Callithrix jacchus: one gene and its partner. The protein of the gene in region 2 purifies or fractionates together with the protein of the main gene of each other region. This does not show direct contact. Links are inferred from orthologs where the notes say so. Each region holds a gene or a part of one and is shown on either strand. Other genes may lie near its edges. The genes, in order: NES and VIM.

What was found.
Region 1: the proteins of VIM (region 2) and NES purify together in Homo sapiens (affinity purification with mass spectrometry; 3 studies listed by BioGRID and IntAct, counting the BioPlex papers as one, with this or other methods). This does not show direct contact. The link is inferred for Callithrix jacchus from reciprocal best matches to the Homo sapiens genes VIM and NES.

What each region holds. Positions count from the first base shown.
Region 1 is NC_133519.1:17,079,979-17,084,273, forward strand, and holds the start of NES (nestin), read right to left. Parts: upstream 3,043-4,295; 5' UTR 2,903-3,042; coding exon 2,120-2,902; intron 977-2,119; coding exon 852-976; intron 1-851. UniProt on the Homo sapiens protein: Required for brain and eye development.
Region 2 is NC_133508.1:18,041,781-18,045,215, reverse strand, and holds part of VIM (vimentin), read right to left. Parts: intron 1,828-3,435; coding exon 1,732-1,827; intron 1,635-1,731; coding exon 1,473-1,634; intron 776-1,472; coding exon 650-775; intron 302-649; coding exon 81-301; intron 1-80. UniProt on the Homo sapiens protein: Vimentins are class-III intermediate filaments found in various non-epithelial cells, especially mesenchymal cells. Vimentin is attached to the nucleus, endoplasmic reticulum, and mitochondria, either laterally or terminally.

The DNA of each region.
Region 1 (4,295 bases), on a different chromosome or scaffold from region 2:
GCCTCGCAGTAGCCTCCCGTCCTTCCAGAGCTGCGGCCTTCCTTCTGGGCTTCTCCTCCCTGGTGGTGGAGGTCCTCTCCACCACATCCTCCCCAGAGCCTCGCTGACCTTCCTCCTCTGGGCATTGCCTCCCCCCTTCCTGGACCTCTTGAGGCTCTTCACCAGGCACAGAGCCCCTTCCACAGGCTCCATCCATGGCCCCTCAGCTCACAGGCCCAGTTTCCCAGAAGACACCATGGGCTGTGGCTGAGGCCACACAGCCAGTGAGAAGCCGCCCCTCCTTGGTCTCAGCCTTCTCCAGGACAACAGGAAATGTGGACAACAAAAGGCTGGGCAGGACCAAGGGCATTAGGGGCATCAGAGGAGCCAGGCCCCATGACATCCAGACTAGAAGAGGCCTTGGAAGTCCCCAGCGAAGCCCTCAGCCCCTAGACAAGGCTGAGGCCCAGGTCAGGTGGCAAGTCAGTGCAGCCACCCCAGGCCTGCAGTGGCTACTTTCTATGGCTGCCAAAGGACTCGACTCCCTGGGTGTGGGCACACACACAGAGTTGGAGCTTTGCCCCTCGGGGGGAAGGGTCTGGATGTAGCCTCTCCAGAGGCTGTCCCACTCTGCAATATCTTCTCTCCTGGGGGGATTTCCTGGGCACAGGACATTTCTCAGGTCTCCATCCTATGAGGGACAGATGAGTTCACACAGGACATGTCCTGGTGTGGCAGTGACCAGCTCAGTCACAGAACCCAGTGGCAGCACAGCTGCCATCACCGACACCTCTGGTCCCCTTCAGTCACACAGTCTCCCGCGGTGTGTGTGTGCGCCTCTGTGCGCCAGGGTGGACGGGCCCACCTCGTACCTGTACGTGGCCACCTCCAGGCTGAGGGACATCTTGAGGTGCGCCAGCTGTTGCCGACCTTCCAGGACCTGGGCGATCTGGCTCTGCAGGCCCTGTTTCTCCTGCTCCAGGGCCTCCACGGCCAGCTGTAGGGCAGGCGAGAGGCAGTCAGTGGAAGGGCTGGGGTCCCTTCTGTGAACCACCCTGCACCCTGCCTGCTGTTGCTGCCCCTGCCACTGCCGGGGCTGCATCTCCCGCTCCCTGGCTGACTCCGAGCAGCAGACCCCCACCTCCCCTACCCCACTCCCTGCCCAGACAGCCCCCTCTGCATCAGCCAAGATGAGCCCAAGCCCGTGTCAGCCCTCCGAGCCCTCTCCCACGGCCTGCTCCTCCTCTGAGGATGCTGATTAAATGGTAGCACATGTTGCTCAGAACGCAGCTCCCACAGGAAGCAGAGGTGAGGGAGGAGAGGAGATGGGTTACCAAGAGGAGAAGAGGGGGGAAAAAAAAGCGAAAGCAGAAGGAAAAACGATTAATCAAGAGGCCTGGAGCCTGCAGGACTGGAAGGCAAACAGCCAGGTCCCCCATTGGTCCCATCTCCAAGGCTGTCTCCTGCTCCTCACAGCAGGCTCCAATCCCCACCCCCACCTCCCTTTCCACAGGTTCTGGATTCTCTCTCCTCTCAGAGGAGGGATGGGGAGGTGGCCGTGGCACCTCCGTGTGGCCCAGGCAAGAGGCTGTTTTCTCAGCTGCTGGTCACATCTGTGCCCTGTGAGAAGGAGCAGCTGTCCTGGGCCTCTGGAATGTGCTCCAGGAAGCCGGGAAACATGACAGGGGAGGGGGCTGGTAGCCATTCATTCCCAGCCCCTCACTTTTCCCCTCAGCGGGAGGAGGGCTGTGAGGAACCTGAAGATTCTGGGTGGCCAGCCCACCAGACTCAGTGCAGAGGCGACAGTGCTGGGGTCTCCCAGTGATAGCAGAGCCTGGGGAGGGGCCCGGAGCCCCGGTAATCATCAGAGCCAGACGACGCCATCCAGAGTAGGGGGACTGCTGCAAGGGGTCTTGGGCCTGACTGCCCTCCCCCGGATGTGCTTTGGGAGGCTCCGAAGTCCCACCATTTGCACCCTACACTGGACGGGCTGGAAAAGTCTAGGGCTTGTGGCACCAGGTTTCTAAGAAGTGGCTCCTGAATCAGCAGCCACCTAGCCCCACTCCCTTCCCAGAAGGTCTCTGAGCTTCATAAGAGACTTTCTGAAGCCCGGTCTCCCCCAGATCCTCAACCTCCTCACCTGGAACTTTTCAGTGGCCCGCAGCCGCTCCTGCCAGCGGCTCTCCAACCTCTGTTCCAACGCTGCCCTGCGATCCTGGAGGCCTCCGCGCTCAGCCTGGAGCTGCTGCAGCTCCAGGCGGCCCTCGCGGGCACCCTGAACAGCCCGGCCTAGCCGCTCGCGGGCCTGGCCCAGCGACGTCTCCATGTGCGCCACGCGCTCCTGGTAGCCGCGCACTGCCCCGCGCCACGCCTCGCCCAGTCGCCTTGCCAGCTCCTCCACCTCCGGGGCCGGCGCCGAGGGCCCGCGGGGCGGCGCGGGGCAGCGGGGGGTACAGGCAGCCTGCGCGTTCAGGCCTACCCGCTCCTCCTCGTGCGCCAAGCGCAGAGCCTCCAGCTCGCGCTCCAGCTCTGCAGCCTGGCTACTCAGCCAGGCCTGTGCGCATTTCTCCGCCTCGACGGCGCGCCTGTTGCGGGCCACCTCCTCCGCCGTCTGCTCCCGGGCCAGCCGCAGCTGCTGGCATCGGCCCGCCACGCCCTCCAGCTCTTCAGCCAGGTTGTCGCGCGCCACTTCGGCCGCGTGCTTCTCCCGCCAGCGCTGGTCAAGGAGGGCCCGCAGGGCAGCCAGCTCGTCGTCGGCACGCGCCCGCCAGGAGGTGTCCCCGGATTGTGCCCGGAGCCCCCCGAGCTCCGCGCTGAGCAGCTCATTCTGCTCCTCTAGAGCCTTGACCCGGGCCAGGTAGGCCTCCAGGCGCCGATTGAGCTCCCACATCTGAAAAGACTCCTCCCCCATGCAGCCCTCCATCCTGCTTGTCTGACCCACTGAGGATGGACAGACGCGGGGCACCAGGAGAAGGGAGCGGCTCGCAGAGGTTTTCGGACTGAAGAGAAAGACCGACGGGGACAATGACAGGGCAGGGCGGAGTGGGAGTAGACTGAGCGACTGAGAGTCGGGAGTGGGAGCGAGGCTATTCATACTCCCGCCAGGCGGGCGGGAAGAGGGGCGGGACCCAGGCCTTAACCCCTTAGAGGTCAGAGAATGGCAGCAGTCTCTGTCCCTGCTTCCCCGGGATGCTGGAGAGTGGAACCAAAAAAGAAGCCGTGCCGTGGAGAATCGGATCTGATGGTGGTGGCTTTCTGGGGAAGGAGGAGGTGAAGAAAGGTCACAATCCCGGAAAAAGGCAGATAATACACAGAACTGAGCCTGTGGGGGTGGGGGTGCCAGGACGTTCCAGCCTAGAGGGGAGTGCGGCCTCAGTTACTCAACACATCCGAGGGAGCTATCACTTACTGAATTCCTCTAAGACTCAGTTTCCTCATCCATAAAATGGGAGCAATGATGGAAATCGCATGGCTGCTGAAAAAATGGATATAACCAGTTTTCTTTCTTTATTGTGAATAGCAAATGCTCATCCTCCTGAAATACTGGAGACATTACAAAGCATTGCAGAAAGAAGATGGAGAGACGCTGCCTGGAGAACAAGAACAAATGTCTGATATTGGGACACACACACACACACACCCCCCCACACACACACATCCTCAATTGCTTGAGTCTTCATCAGAAAAGGAAGCAACCGGTGAAGGGCCGACATGGGCTTAAGAACGTTTCTCTCTCCATCTTTCCTGCAATTCTTCCGTATAACTGCGAGGTTCATACATCCACTTTCGGAAGTTCTGTTTTGGGGAAAGGGCCCCTTCTCCCGCACGCCCTGCCAGAGAGTTTTGAGTGGAGGGCGCCCTCTAGCGGCAAGTATAAGTGGAAGCAGCAGGAAGAGGCCACCATTAGTTAAAACTTTTTTTTTTTTTTTTTGAGACGGAGTTTCGCTCTTGTTACTCAGACTGGAGTGCAATGGCACGATCTCGGCTCACCGCAACCTCCGCCTTTTGGGTTCAAGCAATTCTCCTGCCTCAGCCCCCGAGTAGCTGGAACTACAGGCGCGCACCATCATGCCCAGCTAATTTTTGTATTTTTAGTAGAGACGGGGTTTCACCATGTTGACCAGGATGGTCTCGATCAAGTCTTGACCTCGTGATCCACCCGCCTCGGCCTCCCAAAGTGCTGGGATTATAGGCGTGAGACACCGCGCCCGGCCTAGTTAAAACTATTCAAAGTTTTAACTAAAGATTTAAATGAAAACATGGAAACCATGTTTGTCAGCCTGCTTCCTAACGACGAGCCCAAAGTTTATCCAGCC
Region 2 (3,435 bases):
CCTGAAAGGAACTTCTAAAAATTAAGTGTGACGCTGTGCTTAGAGCCCAATGGTTCCTGCATCCAAGCCTGAGCTCCTACCTGCTCTCCTCGCCTTCCAGCAGCTTCCTGTAGGTGGCAATCTCAATGTCAAGGGCCATCTTAACATTGAGCAGGTCTTGGTATTCACGAAGGTGACGAGCCATTTCCTCCTTCATGTTCTGAATCTCATCCTGCAGGCGGCCAATAGTGTCTTGGTAGTTAGCAGCTTCGACGGCAAAGTTCTCTTCCATTTCACGCATCTGGCGTTCCAGGGACTCGTTCTGCAGGAGGTGAGAAAGGTTTCTGGTGTTATTGCTCAGAAAAACCCAGCTATTCCCAGAACCATTTAGTCTTCTTGCAATAATTTCCATTAGTGGCAAATGACAACTACTCTAGTCGTAGGCGGAGAATGCAAGTACCAAGTCCTTCATATGAGAAGCAATGATATACACAAGCTAAAACCTTCAAGAGCGCCATCAAGTCCTTTTTGAGTTTGTCGTGATAAGTCATTTTCTTTGCATTACCGTATAAATTTTTATTCACTCAACATTTTGTTCAGGCTTCGCCATTAGCATAGTCAGCAGAATGGGTCATTATTTCCCCTCTTTTACTGCAGGGTTGGTACTCACGGTTCCTTTAAGAGCATCCACTTCACAGGTGAGGGACTGCACCTGTCTCCGGTACTCATTGGACTCCTGCTTTGCCTGGCGTAGGGCATCATTGTTTCGGTTGGCAGCCTCGGAGAGGTCAGCAAACTGTCGGGGAGAAAACAGAAATGTACATTGCTCCCATTCAAGTCTTGACTCTCTTAGAAAAAAAAGATCATATTTCCCACTGAATGTCTTCCAGTATAGGCTTAAATTTCTGTTTTGAAAGCCAGAGAAAGAGCAGTGGAACACTGACATTACTATCTTCAGAGTTCACTCTACTGTACTCATTTAAACACAGTGGAGGTCAAAGTATGGCATTGGGGTTTACTTGGAGGCACGGTTAAGAGGAAGGGAATCTGCTATTCTGAAGGAGGTGATATGGCCAGGAGTGGTGGCTTATGCCTGTAATCCCAGCATTTTGGGAGGCTGAGGCAAGGCAGATCACCTGAAGTCAGGAGTTCAAGACCAGCCTGGCCAACATGGTGAAACCCCATCTCTACTAAAAATACAAAAATTAGTCGGGCATGGTGGTGCTCGCCTATGGTCCAAGCTACTTGGGAGGCTGAGGCAGGAGAATTGCTTGAACCCGGGAGGTGGAGGTTGCAGTGAGCCAAGATGATGCTACTGCACTCCAGCCTGGGCAGTAGAGCAAGACTCCATCTCAAAAATAAATAAATAAATGTGAGCAACAAGTCAAAGCCAGCTTTTAACTGGAGCTACAGGATAGGAATTACACACAGGAATGGTGTTTTGAGAACTCAATGCTTTTCTTCTGTGCAGGCCACAGGGACTTGTTTCCTACCTTAGACTTGTACCATTCTTCTGCCTCCTGCAGGTTCTTGGCAGCCACACTTTCATACTGCTGACGTACGTCACGCAGGGCAGCCGTGAGGTCCGGCTTGGAAACGTCCACATCGATCTGGACATGCTGTTCCTGAATCTGAGCCTGCAGCTCCTGGATTTCCTGCAAAAAAAAAAAAAAAAAGCAGATAGAAGGTCAGCTGTGCCAACTGTGGGGGTTGCCTTACCTTCATTCATTTCCCGAAAGACACTCTACTAACCTCTTCGTGTATTTTCTTCAAAAAGGCAATCTCTTCTTGCAAGGATTCCACTTTGCGTTCAAGGTCAAGACGTGCCAGAGACGCATTGTCAACATCCTATTTTGAACAGAGAAAAGACAGGACATGGAGGATGTAAAAGTCTATGGCTTCTCTCACTTATTCATCTTAGATTAACCATCTAAACCTAGTCTCCTTACTATAGAAAAGGTGTTGACAAATTTTACCACCCTTGAGTAAGTTTAGAAATCATTTAGTGCTATCATATGCTACGCTTTCTCCTGCTCACTAATAAATTTTAATCATGACCCCTTGTGTTTTACTCAAGGTGGTGATCAGACAATTTTAAAATAAATAAATGTCTACAAATGTGGTAAACTGTACGCAATCATGACTGAATCCACATTTTACCAGTGACATTTTAAAATTACTTTTTAAGACTCAGAGTAGTGGCTCATGCCTGTAATCAACAAAATCCAACCTGTATAGATCAGGGGTCAGCAAACTGCAGCCCGTGGCTGTCTGTTTTTGTAAATAAAGTTTTACTGAAGGCTGGGCATGGTGGCTCATGCTTGTTAATCCCAGCACTTTGGGAGCCAGAGGCAGGGGATCACCTGAGGTCAGGAGTTCGAGACCAGCCTGGCCAGCATGGTGAAACCCCATCTCTACTAAAAATACAAAAATTAGCTGGGTGTGCTGGCACACGCCTGTAGTCTCAGCTATTTAGGAGGTTGAGGCAGGATAATTTCTTCAACCTAGGAGGCGAAGGTTGCAGTGAGCCGAGATCGTGCCATTGCACTCAAGCCTGGGTGACAGAGAAACAGTCTGTCTCAAAAAAATTAATTTAATTTAATTACTTTTGAAATCTAGAAAATCTCTGTCATAACATTTTTAAGATTGGTTTTGTAATTTCATGGAATAACATGATAATAGACATGGACAAAATTTCACAACTTCATGTACACTTGAGCACATAAAGAACAGAAACTCATGCTTTAAGAGTTTAAGTTTTTTTCTCCACTAGAATCTTCTGAATCTCATCCTTAGGCTCCAGAGCAAATATGTAGCCATCTGGCATCCATTGTACAAGGCTAGATTTATATTCAATAATAGCCCAATTCAGGAATATGGGCATTGCCTAAGATTCAGTTCAGGAAAAAATGGAAAAGACACGTAATTCTTAATGTATTTGCTTTGCTTTCTCTGATGGAGTTTTCTTCTAAAACTCCTTTGGCTCCTCTCATAAAGGCATGTCTTTTTCACTTGCTACTGTATCAGTTCAGTTAGCCTGTTTCTGAATCACTGACCAAGCTTGCAGATAATGAAACTACATGAATTTTTGCTGATTCAGCTGTCCTTCTATGTTTCCATTTGTAAAGGGCAACATTCCAAATCAGAATATGTACTTTTGCAACTAAGATTTTATTTTCTCTCTAAAGGATGCATGAGGATTGCTTATCTTGTCAGTAATTATATTTGGAGTTCAGTTTATACTCTTAGAGTATTAAACTGTTGAGACTTTTCTATCATCTTTGGGAAAAAATGAATGAAGAGTGGGTGATAAAAAGATCCAACTTAATGAAAACATTCATTTTTACTTGGTAAGCCCTAAAAAAGACATAACAAATATTTTACTAACCTCTCAAAAAAGATCAATAGCGTATTCTATTACATTGAAGAGAATGAGGAATTTTGCTTACATTAAAG